Linked DNA regions of Coturnix japonica. The protein of the gene in region 1 purifies or fractionates together with the protein of each later gene. This does not show direct contact. Links are inferred from orthologs where the notes say so. Each region holds a gene or a part of one and is shown in the gene's direction. Other genes may lie near its edges. The genes, in order: CDH8 and CTNNB1.

Region 1 (11,300 bases):
GATTTATTGTATGTTGTGGCCTCCTTTGTAAACTAAAGCAATTAACCTTTTGCTCCAGTTCCCCAGACTTTATTTTATGCAGAGTCTCTCAGATAATGTTGTTTCATATATTCGTTTTGACAGCAATTATCATTTTGGTTCTACTGCAGCAGGTGATATATGTAGGGTACTATTCACCAATAGAATTTCTCCAGCACAAATTTGTGGGTTTTAGACAATTCAGACTAAATTTTCAATATGATAGCCTGATTAAGAATGGCTACATGCATTTAGGCGCACGTGAAATGCAATTAAAGAAATGATACAAGAGCTATGATTGGCAAATTGTGAATATGCTGATTTATAAATCACAATTCATAAGTATTAAAGCTTGCTAATTTAAGACCTACTGAAGAAGCATGGTTTTCTCATGTTTACTAGAGGTTCTGAGAAAAAGCAAATCCCATTAGACCTTGATTCATACCTGGAAAAAAATAAAATAAAAATCAACAAAATTCAAAAGTACACATATTTAATGCTTCGACAGAAAGAGATTTGCTATTCCTATTTGTGTTCTTGCTGATATTTGCATTGCAGATTCAGAGTTTCTATGTCTTTTTCTTTCTATCCCTGGGACATTGTAATGCAAATCTTAATATCTTTCCAGTGCTTGGCAATTTGCATCTTTGAAACTTGAATCATTGTGAGGCACAAGAGAATTATATACTGAATATACTGGTGTGCTTCAAGATACCAACTTGAATCTCCTATAATGAAAACTTCTATAATTCAGGACTGTTGCAGATTTGGTTTTTATTTGGTATCTCGTTTCTTTAAATCCACTGTGTTTTCATCCTCTGTGTTTTAATATGTAGCTGTAAAATAGTAAAAACAGTGGTGACATGGCAGGTATATTGGTAGAACAAAGTAATCAGTTCTATGTTTCTGCCTTTGAAAAAAATGTAAGATAAAGAAATAGGAATTGCTACAGTTGGAAGAAATTCCTGAGAGATGTCTGCCTCATTTACCCCTGTAAACAGAAATGTGGAGTTATCTGAAGTGCAATAATACTGAAATACATTCTTATATGATTAGCTTTTCCATTTGATGCATAATTTCATCATGTCCAACAAATAACTGCTAGATATTTGCATTTCTCGTGTAGTTCTGGAAATAATTAAATATTTATTCCTCACTGAGATTATATCCTGTATACCCTATTTTCTTATCTCCAACTAACAAAGCACTGATTAAAGGCACAATTATTATGCAAGTCACATCACCACCAACAAATTTGCTCTATTTATCTGGAATGTAATTGTAGTTGTATCATTCATGAAAGAGAGTATTGTGGTAAATTTATTGTGAAAAGCAAGAAAACAGTCTCTTGTTTCCTTTGAGGCTGGTTAATAAACATATATCAATATATGCCAAGAAAATTTGCAGGTTGAATTTCTGGGAGTGGGAAGTGCTTGCATACAAACTCACTGAATGTGCTTAAATGCACATAACTTTCATCCATCAGCATTATATTAATTTGCTCTTTCTCTGTGGCCATTAGTAAAAGACATTTATCTTTGTCATTCTTAACAGCCTCTGGACTTTGAGACCAAAAAATCCTATACTCTGAAGGTAGAAGCAGCCAACATTCATATTGATCCTCGCTTCATCAGTGGAGGACCTTTCAAGGATACAGCAACAGTAAAAATTGTAGTAGAGGATGCTGATGAGCCACCAGTCTTTTCATCACCTACATACCTACTGGAAGTGCATGAAAATGCTGCTATTAACTCTGTGATTGGCCAAGTGACAGCCCATGACCCTGATGTGTCTTCCAGTCCTATAAGGTAGTGCTGCTCTAAAGTTCTCACAGAAAAAACTGCCGGCAGAATATTAAGTATATTTTTCTATACACTGTATTTATGACGCTGTTCTCCCTCTGTTTTTGTTCTATAAAATACTTGTATAGGATTTTATCGCCTCATGAAGTTAGACTTATCAGTTTGTATCATTTTCAAAATCACTAAAATACTTCTTTCTTCACAAATAACTTTATCAAACAGTAGGAATGCAATGTAATTAAGAAATAAGAGGTAAGAGGTCTGATAGGTCGGATTTTCAATGTGTTTATTTTAAATAACCTCCTAGTTTCTACGCTAACAATACTGAGTTTTTTCCTTGCAGATGTAAGACTGTAAAACCATATCCAGTATTCATTCGACTAAACTCTTCTCTGGTTTTGTTAGAGGAAATCAGAAATCATATGACTTTTACATCTTCAGTTTGTGGTATTTCCCTTTTTTGACCTAACTTGAACAAAATATATTATTCCAGTTTCATCAAACCAGTGTCTCATTTCCATGATAAAGTTTGCCCTCCCAAGTTTGCCCTTACGGTTTGGTTAAACAGTGATGTGACTGTAACCAAACCATATTTTACTTCTATGCAGAGTACTGCTAAATGCATTATGAAACCAAACACCAAAGCATCATATTTAAAGTAGATTTGGAGGAAAAAAAAAAGGTGTACAAATGTGGTTAATAATTGGTTAGTAGACTTATTCCAGCATATGCATTTCAGAAGCATGTGGTGTTGTGTGCTCCAGGATCACCTCTTACCAAATATAGAACTACCAGCATCTCTCTTGGGAAAGGGACACAGTGAATTCAGCTGAGCTACTTGCAGAGCTTTGCTGTTGTTTAGTAAGGGTGGTAAATTCTGGCTTATTGTGTAATAACGCTTGGAAGTTTATCATCTATTAGCATACAGATCTACTGATTCCAGAAGTGCTTATTTCATGTTTCTGTTGTTATTTTACAACCATGGTCTTTTTATCTGCAGTAAATTATCTTGGATAAAGCTTGATCCAAGTGCATAGCATAAAGCATGAGTAATAATCTTTCTTCCTATACTGTCTCTGCCCTCCTATAAATCACTGCCTTTCAGTGTCTTTCTCTGTGGAGAGATAAGCTTCACAGTGGCAGGTTTTCCCCATTCATATTGGAAGAGATTTCATCTTTGGCAGTAGTGGATCATTTTCTTAATTCACAGCAGTCCTTAAAAACATGGATTCAATATTTCTGCCTCCCTAACGGTGCAGCCATTTATCTGTCACTAAGTAGCATGTCCTGTCTGCCTGTCATTAACTAACAGTTGTGATTAAACACTGATAGGGTATCAGACTTCTGATTTGAATCTCAGTATGTGCAGCAAAAAATAGTTTCTTTTCCTATTTACATTTGTGCAAATAAAGAATAGACCAAACTAAGTCATAACAGCAGTATTAATAATGCAGAAGGACTACGAATCACTTTAAGTTAAACCACTTTGGAGTTGTTCCTATAATTGCCACACCGGATCCATAATCTAACTGAAACTTCTCAATAACTTGTGCTGGTTTTATGGCAATTTGAAAGCAGATATTATTTCCCAGGATATTCTCTCATTTTTAGAGAAATGTACATTTTATGTTTAGCTTATGGATCTGACAATACACTTCCATTAAAAAGAGTTATAGTACAATAAGCATGGAAAGGAAACTGCAAATGTATTATTAGTTTTCCCACATTTATGACTTGGCAGATTTTTAATTTTATTTTATTTTGTACAGAATGTTTATCAAATTGAAATCAGGAGAGGGTTTTACCCATTTGTGGTCTCGTAAACCTGAGTAACTGATGTTACAAAAGTTTCTATTTGAGTGCTGTTTTTTACAATGTGAATAAATACTGTTGGGATGTGCAATATAACAAACTCGCAGATCTTCTGCTCACACTTCTTGTAACCTCAGAAAATGTACTGCAGGAAGACTGTAAATGAAAGTTTAAAAAGGCATTGATTCTTGGAGAAAAAATGTGTCTTATCCCAATGGAATTTACGTCAAGCCCAGGTCAACTAAATCTCATATAAACACTTCAAGTTTTTTTTCATTTATGGAATGGAAGAATTTCATAAAAGTTTGGTACCAGAGCTGTTGTGATAGTCATTCCTGCAGCCTTACATAAACTGCAAGAACTAAAAGATTAAGTTTAAGTAATGAGAACTTAAAAATAATTATCTCAAATGATGTATTTGTCTAATTTTCTTGAATGAAATTTTAGACTTGTAAGTTTGAACATATAATTCTGTATGATATTTTGTACTAACTTTACTAGTATCACAGTTTTCACTTGTAATACTCAAATGGGACCTAATGAGACATTAAAGTAAGGTTAAGATATGTCTTCGAGTAAGTTTGCCTAAGGATAGGCACCTGCAGTTTATTCCTCCACAGAAGTGACCTCATTTTCAGAACTGCTGAGAATGGCACAGTTTGTATTAAACTGTTGAGTACTGAATATGTGAAGTTGACTAGAAAATCAGTTTACTCAAATGTCCAAATCTGTGTGTGCCCAGCTTTAGGCACATACACTTCAAATTAGACTTCATATTTTTATCATACTTTTTTTTTAATAAAACACTTAAATTTTATGAGTAAAATTTGTTCTTCTGAGAGTTTAAAAGCAGAAAACTTCAGTGTGTTGCAAATCACACTTCCTAGTTAGATGAGGGTTTCATTCTTAAGTCCTATCACACCTTACCAGTGTGGTAGTGCTAGCCTTGCTAATAAGCACAATCTTTAAACACTTACACTATAACTTCAAACTAATTTTTGAAAGTGAGTTGTATTTAACCAAGTGCATTGGAAAGACATCTCAATGTAACATTATTCGGCCCTTTTTCAGCTGCATAATTTACCTGGGAATTTACATACAAACTCTGACTACCTGTCAGATCAAACTTGTTTTCTTAAAAATCAGAGATGCCAATCTATAAAACAATCATTCCTTCAGTATTTGAAGTGTTTTACAGATGAGCAGTGATTTACTAACTGATTTCTGCCCATGGACCCACTTGATTTGTAACCAAATAATTGCTATGGTGAATAGTTCTCACATCATTAATCTGAAGTTTATTATTAAAATAATATTATTCAAACTTTTCAAAAGTAACCATGAAGTCCACCATTTTTGTGTGCTTAATGCATTACACTTGAAATTATCGGGAGTTACTGTGAAATGCCATGGAAACCGTCTAATAAATGTGATGGATTATGTAATTAACTCTTGATCAACACTGTATTTCAAAGATGTTACCTATTGAACCTGAGGGGATTTTATGACCTGCATACTGGTTCTATACAGCTAATCACTCCTTGGGCAATAATTAATAATTTTTTTTAGTCTAAGTTTGTCATATTGTCTTATAAATTATTATTCTCTTGAACTTCTCTATCCATTTGGCTATAAAACTGCAGATCTCAGGGGGCTCCATAAAATGTATTGTGATTGTATGGATTCATTAACTTCATTAAGTAGATTACAGGGATGTCTGTTTTGCAGGTTTTCCATTGATCGTCATACTGACCTTGAGAGACAGTTCAACATTAATGCAGAAGATGGAAAAATAACTTTGGCAACACCACTCGACAGAGAAACAAATACGTGGCACAATATAACCATTGTAGCTACTGAGACTAGTAAGTATTTGTGTATTCTGAAGTTCTGTTGGTTTTATTCCCATTACTTCTAATAATGTGTGTAGTGGGAACAATATACAACACTAAAAAATGAAACACTGAATTTTTAAGTGCAATTCTTTTTTTCTTTTTTTTTTTTAAGAAAACTTAATTTTTGCTGAAGTTCCATTTCTTTTACTCTTCCAAACTGCTGTTTCAATGAAAAACCACATAGAGTTTGAAGAGATACATGATGACATTTGTAGAGGTTTTATAGGGTAAGTGAGGAAAACACATCACAGTGAGTTATTAGAAGACAGAAGAAATAAAGGTTTGCTACTGTGGAAGAAGAGAGTAGACTCAACCCAGAGATTCTTTACACTGAAAATATTTTGTTTCAATACAGTGAATGACTAAGCACGTGGGTAATAGTGAATGAAAGTAGCTCTCTTTGATGCCTATGAATAAATTTACTCATACACAGTCATAGACAAGAACACACAATGTTGAGACTAGTGAGTATGCCCAAGCCAGGTCACCCTGCCACAGAATGTGGGTCCTAGATTTCTATTCAAGAAGAGTTCTTGATTAATTTGTGCTGTTGGCTGGATCTGATGAGCCAACATAATTTATTATTAATATTAGTTCTATATTTTAGACTATAATTTTGGCAGTCATAGTGCAGCAAAAAACAGATTCTGGAAGTAGGTCTTTCATCTATCTGAAACATAAATAAGAAAATATTTCTGCTTAAGTATCTATTCAGCAATCAATATATATAAATGCATAATTCCCATAAGTACATGCACACTTGACACATTGTTGTAAGAAATTTGTCTTTAGAGCTTGATGAACTCTGGTGCTAATTCTTGCATATAGAAAACAAGATGATTTTGATGCTTTCTTTTCAAACAGAGTATAGTTTTTTGAGTATATAGTGTTATTATCCAAAACTTTTGGTGCTCAGTATCACAGTGCTGTACCTATGCATGTGTGAATGAATAGCAGAATAAAAGGTGGTTACTTGGCCCATACTGGATGATTAATTTTCCAATACTTTTCTCTGGTACTTGCTTTTAAATACAAACATATTAGGAATCAGTGAGGGATAACTGAAATGCATGCATATATGAGAAAGATATGTCTGAATATAAAAGAAGCTCTCCATTTATAACCTCTGTAAACTGTGTTCTACCTTAATAATCTGTGCATTTCATTGCTAATTAGTGCAATATTACAAACAGTGCCCCAATAATTACTATTAAATGTAAGCACTACCTTGATAAATTTGTGACAAGACTGGCAGGAAAGCCAAGGCAAGGCAGTAAATCTAATAGCATAAAGAAAGAAAGCTCCAGTGTTTTACAACTAGCAGTTTAACAATTGCCAAGTTGATATCAAGCCACTTAATAATTCAGCTGGTTTTAAACGAGAAAGGTAGAAAAATCTCCATACCAATTTTCTCAAGACTTGAGCAATGTCAGATTGTAGGACGTACCAATAGCATCAAGAGAATTATTGGTCTGTGATTCAAATCTTTTGAGACATCAAAAGATGTAAAGTGAAGTAATTCTACATTTTATTTGCTTCTGGGAGTCTAAGAAGGAAAAAATGAAAAGAATTTTTCAAGAAACTAATCCAGTTCTCTTCTTTGACCTGCCTTATATATGTGTGTATCAGAACAAAGCTAACAGAATTCCACTTTTCTAAGCCAGATCAGAATCAATTCTGCCTGTTCCTCCTTCAAATTTTAAAAATGTGATTGTATTTAAGAATTATGTAAGAAATCAGCCTTATCATTAAACTTTGTGGGGGCCTCAGCCCCTATCAGTGTTGTAAAATTGCTTCTTTTCAGACTGACCATGAAAATAATAATGCCAATCTAGTGCTTAACGTTCAAGTTCCTTCTTGTGACTGGATTGATTGAATTAGGTTTTTATTGTTGTATTGGTTTTGTTTTGATATTCCTAACATGATTATCTGACATTTACATAAAACAAGAGCTGAATTTCATAGCCTGCTATGACTGCTTCTTTAAGAGATGATATTATATACTACTAATGCAGAAACTAAATATGTTCATACAATTGTCAAGCAGGGTAAAATGGTCATTTTCATGTTTTTTTACAACACAGTAATAAGCAAGATCTCTGTTATAAAATAGCAGAAATCAGTTTAAGGCAGATACAAGCAGAAAATGAAAATGCAAACTGTGCAATCTCTGTGCTTTTACTGAGTGTAACATTAATGTACTGCTTACCTCTTCCATAAAAATAAATATATTGCTATCATTCATACAGGAACATTTTCTCTTCCTAACCAAGCTGCTGTCCAGATTCAGTTCAGGGCTCACCTGTATTTATATGGGCAATGATTGGGCCATTTCACTGCCATCACAGCTGCTTACCAATCATAAGTAGTGATATATTTCTTCATCATGATTGCCAACACGGTGGAATACATCCTGATTTATCAATACTTTCATAGACACCAAGTTTTGCCACAACTTAAATCACTTTTTCGGAACTTTCTGCTGGTACATTGCCTGCACCTTTATTTCTGCCTTAAGTGGAAGAAAGATCCTTGAAGTTTTCTGCTGTCACCATTACAGAGTTATTCTTTTGTATCAACCCTCAACCACTGTCCTGAATTGGAATCTTTCTGGGTAAGATTGGACTGAGTTGACTGAGATAACTTCTGTATTTTCACTTAGCTTGAGGATGGAGAGATTCAGATTCAGATAATTTTACATGCTACTTGATTTTAATCTTTCTGAGTGCTCAGAAGGTAAGCTAAACCTTCCTTGTCTAGCAAAACTAGGAGCAGAAACATGAAAGCATGAGCTAATTGGGACTTTTCAATGTAAGTACTTAGCAGACTAAAAAGTGATTTAGTTTATTTTCATTTACAAGAAGAATGTTTCCTACTCACAGGAACATTCTAGCTCTAATTCAAATATATTTGTGCTCTTGGAGTCACTTATAGTATTACCTTCATATTCTGAGACCTATTCAAAGTGATACATTTTGGAGGGTGGCATTTCCCTGCTTTCACTTTCCAATCACTGAAAGACTCCTAGCCTCTGTGAAGTGGTTTCTAATTGCTTTCATTGTATAGAATCATAGAATCATTTGAGTATGAAGGGACCTTTAAATGTCATCTAGTCCAATTCCCCTGCAATAAACAGGGACACTACAGCTCCATCAGGTGCTCGGTGCCCCATCCAGCCTGACCTTGTGCATCCATCATCTGTCTGGGCAACCTTTGCCAGTGCCTCATTACCCTCATACTAATCTTTTCCTTATAACCAGTATAAAACTCCCCTGTTTTAGGTTGAAACCATTTCCCTATGTCCTATTACAACAGTCCCTGCTAAATAGTCTATCCCCTTCTTTCTTATAGCCTTCATTTATATAATGAAAGGCCACTATCAGGTTTCCCCAGAGCTTTCTCTATGCTGAATAGCCTTAGCTCTTTCAGTCTGCCCTTGTAAAGGTGTTCCAGCCCTTGGATCATTTTTGTGGCCTTCCTCTGGATGTACTCCAGCAGATCCATGTGTCTCCTGAGGACAACACAGCTGGACACAGTACTCCAGGTGAGGTCACATGAGTGCAAAGCAGAGGACAGGAGCACCTCCCTTGACCTACTGGCCATGGTTGGTTTTTTTTTTTGTACTTCACCCCCTGATGATATCATTGATGATGATATTAAAGAGCACTGGCCACAGTACTCAACCCTGAGGGGCACCACTCTTCACTGATCTCCATATTTAATGAAAGTTAATGCTTACGTAGTGATGCCATTGTACTGATGAATTGTACCACAAGGATTGGTAAGAAATGTTAAAAGCCCCTTGATGTCTTTGAAAAATCACTCTGAAATACAGCTTAGAATTTACTGAAGAAATCCACAAACTAATGCTTATGGCAAGAGAGATTCTGGAAATTATTAAACCTCTGAATTGATTCTTAAATATTCTTTCTACGTTCACATGCAGCCAAGTTTACTCTGCTGAACTGGAGTGTGAGTGTCTAAGAGATCACAGCCTCTGTGAAGCAGACTCATTTGCAAAATGACTCTCCCTCAGAACATACTTTTTGGTCTGTGGATGTGAGAGGTGAACTTTGTTTTCTGTCACTGACTGGATTTTAAATACTGAATGAATGAGATTTTCCTTTGTTGTTGTTATATGGTTGAGACTTATATGACTAAAGGCTAAGGAGCTTACAGTTGTTTGCCATAGTTTTGAGGTTTTCTTAGCTGGATGCTTGAGAGAACAATGAATGGATAAAGCCTTGCTTTGTAAGTCAAGGCTGAATCTGCTTCTTTTTATGTTTGGGCCCTTTGGAGCTAAGTCCCAAACAGAGAACAAATCTGTGGGCATTCACAAGTATGCTCTGAGAGTCTGAATTGCAGTGCAATAAGTATGAATGATTAACTTACAGACATTTCTTTTGTTGTTGTTGTTGTTTTTTGTTTGTTTGTTTTTTGGTGGGTTTTTGTTTGTTTGTTTGTTTTTTCTCTCTCTAAATGTATGTATGTGTACAAAGGCATATCACATTCTTGTTATTTGGTACTTTTTTGACATGGAATTTCTGACAGTCAGGAAAGTCTAGTAAAGTGAGGATCTGTGTAGTCAGATGTAAGCCCATTCATCAGAAAACATAAATGCACTTTTTAGTTTCTATGAGGTACAATTATAGCTGTAACTACTGTTCACATTGACATGCTTGTGTTGCTTGCATTAACTGGTTGGCAATTTTGCTGGGCAGTGAAGCAGAGCAGAGTTCAAGCTGAGCTAACCTTCTCAGTATTCTCTCAGGTTCTTGTATAGGTTTTGCAGTACTTATGGAGTTACGTGTTGTCAATGGTTCTCAGCTACTAAAGGAAAATCAAATAGACATGATTTATTTATTAGAACATTTTTTGCTACAGTTTGTGCAGACTCTGAATGGAGTTCTTTCAGATCATTCAAGGTATCAAATTCTCATACATGCACTAAGCATATAGTAGTTATACTCTGTCGACTTTATGCCTCCAGGTCCATGGATTCCCATTTCCATTAACAGCTACACTGCAGATATTTCCTCAGTGTCCTCACTGTGTTACTCATTAATAGTAAGGAAATGCCCTATACTTCAGTGATTTCTGGTTAATTGATATATCAAAAGCAACAATAAGTGGAGAAGTAATGTAGTTTGAAACTAAAGCCAAGACTTATCCCAGAAGAGCTAACTTAGGCAAGAGAGATGCGTATTAGTAACAGAATACAACTGCATTAATATTCCTCCAACTTAAATATGAATAACCTGATATTTGCATTTTCATCCCTCTTGAACTATATCCGAGATCTGCTTGATATGGGATTCTACTGAATTCTTCTTTTTTTTTCTTTTTTTTTAAGTGTGCCAGAATACATCCATTATTAATAATGTTTACCTGAGATTCCCTTTTAAAAGTGAAGTAATCCTTTTCTCAAGTACTACGCAGTGGAAATTTATTGAATAATATCACAGGTTTAACAAGAAGAATCTTCTAAAAGTATTCTTGTTTGTAGTCTGTGGGGTTTGTGAAAAGCACACCAACAAATGGCAGAAATCATAGCTCACAAACTTTAAAGAGATCTAAATGATGATACCTCCAAATTTCCCAAGCTTTCTGGTGTAGCACTGACTGGACTGTTCGAGACTGGTGTTTCCTTCCCAGCCTTCTTCTGACAATTTGCAGTTCCAGATTTCTTCAATTGCATTCAGACCAAATCTATGTAACAGTTTATGAGATACACCACTGTGAACATATTCAAGCATGGACAGGTTCTTTTATA
Region 2 (9,951 bases), on another chromosome or scaffold:
CTTAAAAGATCTTGTACTGATGTTTGTTCTGAAACCCATGTCAAGCTAAGGATCTTGACAATTGCTGAGCAGTTTGACAGTCAGTCTTGGTCATTAAAGAAGGATGCATTGGTGGAAGTGTTCATGGTCACACAGCAAGACTTTACAGAACTGACTATTAGTTGTGAATAGCTTTTTTGAGAGATCTGTAGCATGTGGTTTGTGCAAGCCAGCCTACTTGCATGACCAGGAAGTGACAGTGCTATATTTCTGCTGTCTTTCAGCTGATTATTCTGGCAAGTGGTGGACCCCAAGCTCTAGTAAACATAATGAGGACCTATACTTATGAGAAACTATTGTGGACCACAAGTAGGGTGCTGAAGGTGTTGTCAGTCTGCTCCAGCAACAAACCTGCTATTGTTGAGGCTGGTAAGTACGTTCCTTGTACTTTTCTATTTAAAAAAAATAAAGGTATACTGGACTTCAGAATCAGTACATTCCATACTAACCAGAACAGAAGCTGCCAGCATTTGAAATTAAACACAGTTGGTCTTTGATTTCTAACTAGTTCTAGAGGCCTTAAGTATTAAGTCTGCTGTGGTATTAGCATGTGCCTTCGTGGCCTAATGTTGTCAGAATTGTCTCCTTAGAATGTACTTTTTTTTGTCAATGTCACAAAGAGAATCACAGCTTTTTTTCTTCCTATGTAATGAAGGGCTGGGGTCTAGGCATATTAGGTTACTAATCCAAAGAAAGAACCAGAAGCTTGTTAGATATTGTGAGAAAAACTATTCCATTTACAAGATGAGTAACACTGTGTGACAAACATGTATTATTATCTTCTAGGTGGGATGCAAGCTTTAGGACTCCACCTTACAGATCCAAGCCAGCGTCTTGTCCAGAACTGTCTCTGGACTCTGAGAAATCTGTCAGATGCAGCAACCAAGCAGGTAAGTGGGCCTTCTAAGGGATCAGGATCGAAAGCCAACATAGTGGAAGAGGAAAGAGACCTAATTTTCTTTTCCTTTTGCAGGAGGGAATGGAAGGCCTTCTAGGAACTCTTGTTCAGCTTTTAGGATCAGATGATATTAATGTTGTGACTTGCGCTGCCGGAATCCTTTCTAACCTTACTTGCAACAATTACAAGAACAAGATGATGGTCTGCCAGGTTGGTGGCATTGAGGCTCTTGTGCGCACAGTTCTTCGGGCTGGAGACAGGGAAGACATCACAGAACCCGCTATTTGTGCGCTCCGTCACCTCACCAGCAGACATCAGGAAGCTGAAATGGCTCAAAATGCAGTACGTCTCCATTATGGACTCCCAGTGGTGGTTAAACTGTTGCACCCACCCTCACACTGGCCTTTGATTAAGGTAAATTATGGCTGATGTCTGTCAGTGCTGAAAACCAGTGCTTTTTAAATATAATATTACCTGAGGAAAATACTGTGTTTCCAAGGCATTGGAGAATGTAACTCTCTTGATGGAGAGGCTACTTCAAATGAGCAACTTTCAAGTTGTTTCTTACAGAGATCCAACTGTTTGGGACTGACTGATTTAATAACAAACATACACAGTGCTAAATAGCAAACACACCCCTTATGCTCTCTTATTCCTCACCTCCTTTCTGAACTGCAGGCTACTGTTGGATTGATTCGCAATCTTGCGCTCTGCCCTGCAAACCATGCCCCACTGCGTGAACAAGGTGCCATCCCACGGCTAGTTCAGCTGCTGGTTAGAGCACATCAAGATACCCAGCGACGTACTTCCATGGGTGGAACGCAACAGCAGTTTGTGGTAAGTGGCCACTAGGAGCTACAATTACCTAAATAGCTATTGTTTTAACATTTGCTCTGGTTTATATTAGTCTGCACAATCTGGTAGTATGCTGATTATGCTAATCATTCTGCCTTGGCAGATCTAAAATGTTTCTGAATGCTACAGTTAGTAGAAGTACTGGTTTCACCTACCCTGGCAATGAGTAGTTCTTTATGAGGAAGTTCCATCCTTGTTGGAACTATGGGTTTTGGAATGTTGTCACAGCTTAATGTGTATTTTTTCATGCTTACAGCTGTATGAGTACAGAGAAATTGTCCAGGCTCCATAATTAACATACCTGGTTAGTGTGGCAGAATCAGTCTTGATTTTTCCCTCCACCTGTTAAACGTGCTGACGAAGGGGAAGTTACATTAGCATAGGCAAATGGAAGCAATACCTACCAGTACAGGACTGTAGTTAATACTTGCAAAGGCAAGCCAGTCAGAGCCTCTTCATCACTGATTAGCACTTTTGAACTTAGTAAACAGCCAAGCTAATTCAGCTTGGGGAAAAAACAACAGTGTTGTCAGATGTTAAGTTTATAATGAACTGGAAAAAAAAAAAGAGAGCACAGGGAGATGTTCCACTGAGGTGATTCACTTCCAGAATTTATCTGGATAAACTAGGCCAGGACTTAGCAGGGACGGTTTAGTTTGAAGGCCAGCAATAGGCAGTGGGTATTGAGGCAACTGGGGGAGGGATGTGTGCGCAGGAGACTGACCGATTCTTTGATAATGATCAGCTCTTTGACAGTTGTTTTAGGAGATAATGTTCAATATTTCAGCTGAAGTGCCTTTTCTTTCCCTGACTGTAGGAGGGTGTGCGCATGGAGGAAATCGTAGAGGGCTGCACTGGAGCTCTGCATATTCTTGCACGTGATGTTCACAATCGAATTGTTATCAGGGGTCTAAATACCATTCCACTATTTGTGCAGGTAAGCTGGAGCTCAAGAAAATGCTGTAGTACATACTAGTATAACTTCCCCAATGCCTTGTTGGTAGAACTGTTAATTTGCATTGTACTAAAGTTCTTTTCAAGCAGAAGAGTTAAAAGAAACCCTTGTTATGATTGCAGTTGTTGTACTCCCCCATTGAGAATATCCAGAGAGTAGCTGCGGGTGTACTTTGTGAACTTGCTCAAGACAAGGAAGCAGCTGAAGCAATTGAAGCTGAAGGTGCAACTGCCCCTTTAACAGAACTACTCCATTCTAGGAATGAGGGTGTTGGTAAGTGAACTTAAAATTAAGTTTCATACTTACTGGAAAAGTATCAAACATCAAAAGAATTGATGTTGACTAAATTCACTTTACTTTTTTAATAGCAACATATGCAGCTGCAGTGCTGTTCAGAATGTCTGAGGACAAACCACAAGACTACAAGAAGCGACTTTCAGTTGAACTGACAAGCTCTCTGTTCCGGACTGAGCCAATGGCTTGGAACGAGGTGAGTTGTGTCCTTGTGTGAATGGTAACTTGGGGAGACTTTACTTTCAAGTCCCTCTTCCTTCCAGTAGTGAAGTGTAGATGCCATCAGTGATATGGATTCAGTTTTACACATGTCTGTAGCTTCCTTACTCTTTACATGTTCATGTTCAGCTTGTAGGTTTGTAGAAAATGGTGCAAGCTTCAAATGTATACTCTTGTCCTAGGGCAGAAGTTTATATCTAAACAGGTGAAACTGACAGTTTTGGGAATTCATTACATAGGGCAAGAAACCTCTCTAGAACTACAGACTTGCTCAAGTAGAATAATGAGCGAGTAGCCTTAGAGCTGCTGCTTTAGTGCTTTCTTTTCAGATACAAAGAGTCTAAAGTTTAAGTCTCATTTTGCTCTGTGTGTAAGAACTCTGTAGGTCTCTGTGCTGCTTCTCATTTGAAAGGACAGCTCAGCAGTAATCTTTAGGAATTTCAACCAGTTCTTGCAGGTTGTCCAAACCTGATGAACTGATGATAGGATACAAGCATAACCATAACACTCCTCTAAGGACTCTTATTTAGCAAACTCTGTAGGACTAAGAAGCTTGGTGTGGGTATGCCACTTTTATGTTCTCATTAATTGAGAATTGAGCTCTCAGACTTGGAAGTATTTGCAAGCTATTACATGAAATTTTTTCATGCTTAAAGGCCAGCACAGTGAATTGAGACTGAAAACTGCCATTGGGGAATGTTTCACTAAATCTGTCTTTCCCCATATACTTACTTAACAGTCTTACCTTAATAATATGTAGTAGCCTTTGGTTTGTAGTATTTCAGTGTTCACCTCTGATTTCCTGAAGTCTGTATCCATCTAACATGTTAACATGAGAAAACATAGCAAAAATGGTGTATCTTTTTGAAATACAGTGCAGAAGAGTTGGTTAAAAAGAAAAAGGATTTATGGCAAGCTTTAGAATTTCTTAAATTCAATTATTAATGTTGGCCCTAAGACCTGATGTGAAAACTGTTCTGTATCTTTTTGTGCACATCTAGACAGCGGATCTTGGACTTGACATTGGTGCCCAGGGAGAACCTCTTGGATACCGCCCAGATGGTATGTCTGTTCCATTCCCCTTGACTAAGCTTAATATAAGTCAAGTCATTGACTGTAAAGGAGAACTGCAAATGGCTGAAGAGTAAATTACTCCTCAGCAAGATATTGCAAACTGACAGGCAGATGGGGAACTGCCAGTTCAAATAAGCAGTTTCTGCAACACCTCTGGCTGCACTGAAATGGGAGCCATATGAATGTGCAAAATTGGTGTCGCTTGTCTGAGTCTTGCAAGAGAATCTCCCACTGAGCTGCTGTTTCCAGAAATCTTTTAAATCCTTTACAGATGGACTTGACAATTCCAGAAGTGCAGTTTTTCTTTAAAACAAATGTTGGTATGGTATATATATTAGTCTTTAAGTGCCAGTAGACTTAAGTCTATTGCTATGGGTTCTGAGTCTGCAGCCTTGTAGCCTGGTTTTGCTGTAGTATTGTTGAATTTTAGTACTGTTGATTGTGCAGACTAATGGCTTGGCTGGAATCTGCTCGTGCTTCTGACTGCAGTTGCTTTGTCTGCAGAATCACACTGGAAGGCTGTTTCAAATGATGGAATAGCCATTAAGGGCAGGCAGCAGATCATTTGGAACTTGGCTGAACTAGAAAAACAATTAGATGGCTACAACAATCTTCTCACACACTGATACTTGCAGCTTCTGATGCATCTAACATCTGTTAACATTATGCTCTTTTTCCCTCTGCCACCTTTTAACTTTCTTAGATCCTAGCTACCGTTCTTTCCACTCTGGCGGATACGGTCAGGATGCCTTGGGTATGGACCCTATGATGGAACATGAAATGGGTGGCCACCACCCTGGTGCTGACTACCCAGTTGATGGTCTGCCAGATCTTGGCCATGCCCAGGACCTTATGGATGGGCTGCCTCCAGGTGACAGTAATCAGTTGGCCTGGTTCGATACTGACCTGTAAATCATCCTTTAGGTAAGAAGCTCCAATTGTGAATTTAAAAACAAAACAAAAAGAGAGAAACAAATTACTGGACTCAGGACTTGGTTGGCAGGGAGGGAATGGCTTAAATGGGTCCCAGTGTGACAGAATACTGAGGGGGAGGGGAAAAAATGCTCTGGAGACACGCATCAGTTTGGATTGTAGGAGTGTATGATTTTCTGCCGTGAGGTATGGAAGTAATTAACTGTAACGTCTTGTGCATCACCAGCTTTGTGCAGTCTTTATGTTGAAGTAACTTTTACTGAGGAACACTGACATTATTTTTCTGTTTTCCTTTTTTGCAGCTGTATCATCTGAATGAACTTGCATTGATTGGCCTGTAGAGTTGCTGAGAGGGCTCGAGGGGTGGGCTAGTATCTCAGAAAGTGCCTGACACACTAACCAAGCTGAGTTTCCTATGGGAACAATTGAAGTAAACTTTTTGTTCTGGTCCTTTTTGGTCGAGGAGTAATAATACAAATGGATTTTGGGAGTGATTCAAGAAACGAGGAATGCACAAGAATGAATTGCAAGATGGAATTTATCAAACCCTAGCCTTGCTTGTTAAAAATTTATTATTTTTTTTAAATCTCTGTAATGGTACTGACCTTTGCTTGCTTTGAAAGTAGCCTTTCTTTTCGCAGTAATTGTCGTTAGGTTTTTTTTTTTTAAGTCTCTCGTAGTATTAAGTTATAGTGAATATGCTACAGCAGTTTCTAATTTTTAAGGATTGAGTAAAGGTGTAGAACACTAATTCATAATCGCTCTAACTGTATTCTGAATAAAGTGTAACATTGTGTAGCCTTTTTGTATAAAAAAAACAAACTAGACAAATAGAAATGGTCCAATTAGTTTCCTTTTTAATATGCTTAAAATAAGCAGGTGGATCTATTTCATGTTTTTGATCAAAAAACTTTATCTGGGATATGTCTGGGTAGGGGCCAGTAAGAACTGTTTATTTGGAACCTTGTATTGGACAGTTTACCAGTTGCCTTTTATCCCAAAGTTATTGTAGCCTGCTGTGATACAGATGCTTCATGAGAAAAAATGCAGTTATAAAATGGTTCAAGATTAAAGTAAACTTTTAATTCGCTCTGTGTCAAGTTATTTCAGACTGTGTTGACAGGTCCTCCAAAACCTGTTCTCAAATTGTGCAATGCTTTCACTACTTCAAAGGCAGAAACCAAGAACTGCTCCCCTTCTCCATCCCACCTGGCGGCTGCTCTGTCCTTTGGAGATCACGGTTAGAATCATGGAGGCTTCCTCCCACAGTATTTTTCCCCTTTCAGGTTCCTCAGCAAGGCAGCTATGCTTAGTGTAGCATGCAGGAGAAGGTCCTTCACTTATAAGTGCTCAGCTGCTCCACTAGCTTTAACTCAGCCTGAGATAGGACCTGCATGCAGCTCACCTTCTCTAGAGACAGCACTTGTGCAGATAGAAGTAGGTAATGCTGTTAACAACTGCTGGATAATTTATAGACTGTGCACATCTGCACTCTGCAGCTGTCACCAGCCTCTGCCCAGAGTGCTCATCCTGCCTCTCAGAGCAGATGAGATCACAAGGGGAAAAAGCTATAAAGGATCACAGCTCCTGGTAGCATCCCAAGGAGATGAGAGCTGAAGCAAGCTACAAAAGGGTGCTCTCCTTTGCTTATGGAGTAGACAAACTGCAGCTATGCTGATGTCTCATTGAGTAACATCCAGGGATATGGCAATGAAGGGGATTTCATTTCTTATGCACTATGGCATCTACCAGTTCTGGAGGACTACTGCTGGATTTTATCATATGGACATGGCATGTACACACACACACACAGCAAAGTATTTTTAGTAAAGAGGTATAGTCTAATGCACATCACCAAGCGTAAGACAACCCCTTAAAATGACCAGCCAGGCCCTTCAGCTGATCAGCAAGACATACACAAGCATTTCTGACGCCTTAAAGTAGTGAAACAACTAAGCTGTTTATTTTATTTACACTTCTCACACTGGCTATCAGGTACTTGTGCTACATCACACAATGCCAGCAAGGTGAAAATAGTAATCAAGAATTCACCCAGAAAGAGCTTGAAAAAAGGCTGTTCCTTCTGGAGAAGCCAAAGCTGTGCCTGTGCTCAGACACTGGCGGAGTGAGTTAGGTCTGCTCTGCTTGTGTGAAGATGTTGATTCAGGACAGCTCTGAGCATCACACACAGCTGTGTATTTCAGTGGGCTGATCAGACGCAGTTCACTTGGTTGGCTTTGGATTTTCACGTGCTACTGTTCTCAGAATTTCAGATGCCAGGGATGCAACAGCAACATCAGCATGACAGCTGGAATTAAAGAGAGTGACAGAAAGCTCTTACGTATTCGCAAGGGAAAAACTTGTTCAAATCCCACACTTGCCATTATCTATGCTGGGAAATTCTCAGCATCGCCCATTGAGTAACTTGAACCCCATTTTCCTGTTGAGCAGGAGGAACACACAACTAGTGGTTCTGTCCTGCAGCACGTCTTGTGTAAAAATGAGTTCCAGTTTAAATTCGCAGTAACTGCTGCCTTGCTCAATCTCCTCCGTGAACGAGAAGAAAGATAAAATCTATCCTGTCCCCATGGATCCTACGCACAGCTTGACAGGAAAATGACTCCGCTTCTGCTTTCTCCCATACAGAAACAAGCAGTTTTTTTTAACAGGCTGCCATCCTTCATGATTAACTCAGGAAGTAACAGCAGTAGGGCAGCTCGCAGCTTCCCTTGTTGCTGCTAATGGCAAACACCCGCTGACACCTCATCTTCTGGGGAACACAATACGTGCCCATGAAACCCTGGTGATCGGTACACAGCATAAACCAGTTTCTTACCAGAACACTCAGTTGAAACAAACATGTTGGCAACTGAGAAATGCACTGCTAAGATCCCACATTTAAAGTTCAGGTTGAATTCCACCTCACTACTAAGCATGATGGGCTGGTTACATACCAACCCCAAGGCTGCCTGTTCCGACTAGCCAAGAATACGTAACAGAGAGTTTGGCAAGAGGCAGCTGCTACAAGGTGGTGGGAGAGCACCGAGAGCAGCTTGCTGCCCAGCTGTGCCTCTGCCCTGTAATGGCACTGCTTGCTTGTTGTATTCCTTCCGTTGCGCTGAAAGAGGAGAAACCGGTCTGTGAAAAACAAGCGAAGCAAAAACACGCCTCACCCACTCTGCCCTAGTGATGGTATGTGGGTGGCAGGGCCTGGGAGTTCAGACTGCTCGTGTTTCCAACTCAGCAAGAAGTTCAGAAAGGCTTCTTACCAGGGTTCAAAGCACAGGTGGGAAGAGCAGGCTGAAGTGAGTAGGTGACAGGGGATACTCTAGGGAAGATGGCACATGAGCGGGAGTTTGAGGGCATGGCTTAGCATCCATAATGTCCATATACAAAATGGCCAGTTGGCTAATGTTGATTGAGCATGCCAACCTTTTCCTGTCTATTCTGTAGGCCATTTGTTGCTGCTGGAGTCTATCACAGCCCCCCAAGATGCAGGCTGGATCCCTCCCAGGCTCCTCAGCAGGTGAATAGACAAGGATGTGCACCCCTCAAAGAATGGCAGGAGGGAAAAAGAAATCCGTGAGCTCCTGGGAGCCTTCCTGCCACTGCTACAGGCAGAGGAACCTGATCTGTCCTAATAATACCAGAACACTACAATTTGGTCTCCTGAGCATCTTGTGTCAAACAAGAGAGACTGCTGCTTATTTTGGACTCCATAGCATGTGGTTTTCTGAGTACAGAAACGTGCAGATAGATAGATAACAATTAGAGGAAGTCAGAGAGGCAGACTCAGAGCCAGCTGGTGGATGGGCTGTGCAGTGCATCTAGCGCTGAAATGCAACGAAAGAGATGGAAAACGTGTTCTAAAACAAGAAAAAAAACTTCCTTCCCCACTGTTACACCGCTGTCATCTTCAGTGGCAGTGCCAGTGTCTCCCTTAGGGAGAGCTGTCCTTTTATGTTAGTTGGATAATTTACAATATCATACAAAAAACGTGAGTCAGCATCTGAGGGAGACTCAGGCTGTTCAGGATGGGCTTGGTGTGTCCCAGCACACAGCAACTCACACTCACCACTTCACAATCATTTCCTCTCTACTCACGTCCCTGCTCCCAGCGCAAGGTGACATCAAGGAGTCAGCCCAGCAACCCACACAGTCTGTGTTTGGGAGCACAAAGAGAACTGCGCAGACCGACTGTTTCTATAAAATACAATCTCTGACTTATTTTGACCAGGAGCAAAATGCAGCCTAACAGCAGAGAACAGCAATTCATTCCTTTGTATACCCAAGGGGGGGATTAGGTGAGGGAAAGTCCAACAGAGAGCAGCTGAGGCCTGCCCAAGCTGCTGGGACCAGCACCTCTGTTCCTGCAGAGGAAGCCCTGGCAGTGCCCGCAGCCTTGTGCCTTTGCTGGGAAGCCACAGGTATTTGCAAACAAAAGCATCTCTGTTCTTTAGCTGCATATTTAGAAGAAAAAATAATAATAATAAAAAAATCAGCTTGCAAGCATACCGCACAGTTTGGTTACTTTAAAACAGGGCACAACTACCACATTGTGCATCTCGCCCACTGTGCCAAGAAACATGGACCGGTATCCGGTTATAAAAGAGACTGATTGTTTGAAATGAAATAAAGTAAAAAAAAAACACAACAACCACCCAGTTTAACATGACAGATGTGC

The links.
Region 2: the proteins of CDH8 (region 1) and CTNNB1 purify together in Homo sapiens (co-immunoprecipitation; 3 studies listed by BioGRID and IntAct, counting the BioPlex papers as one, with this or other methods). This does not show direct contact. The link is inferred for Coturnix japonica from reciprocal best matches to the Homo sapiens genes CDH8 and CTNNB1.

The regions. Positions count from the first base shown.
Region 1 is NC_029526.1:11,336,552-11,347,851, forward strand, and holds part of CDH8 (cadherin-8), read left to right. Parts: intron 1-1,572; coding exon 1,573-1,826; intron 1,827-5,360; coding exon 5,361-5,497; intron 5,498-11,300. UniProt on the Homo sapiens protein: Cadherins are calcium-dependent cell adhesion proteins. They preferentially interact with themselves in a homophilic manner in connecting cells; cadherins may thus contribute to the sorting of heterogeneous cell types.
Region 2 is NC_029517.1:39,924,970-39,934,920, forward strand, and holds the end of CTNNB1 (catenin beta-1), read left to right. Parts: intron 1-263; coding exon 264-408; intron 409-825; coding exon 826-929; intron 930-1,012; coding exon 1,013-1,351; intron 1,352-1,615; coding exon 1,616-1,774; intron 1,775-2,609; coding exon 2,610-2,729; intron 2,730-2,869; coding exon 2,870-3,020; intron 3,021-3,115; coding exon 3,116-3,237; intron 3,238-4,261; coding exon 4,262-4,322; intron 4,323-5,037; coding exon 5,038-5,246; 3' UTR 5,247-5,258; intron 5,259-5,569; coding exon of another isoform or gene 5,570-5,586; 3' UTR 5,587-6,357; downstream 6,358-9,951. Other genes in the region: serine/threonine-protein kinase ULK4, read right to left, coding at 7,491-7,575. UniProt on the Homo sapiens protein: Key downstream component of the canonical Wnt signaling pathway.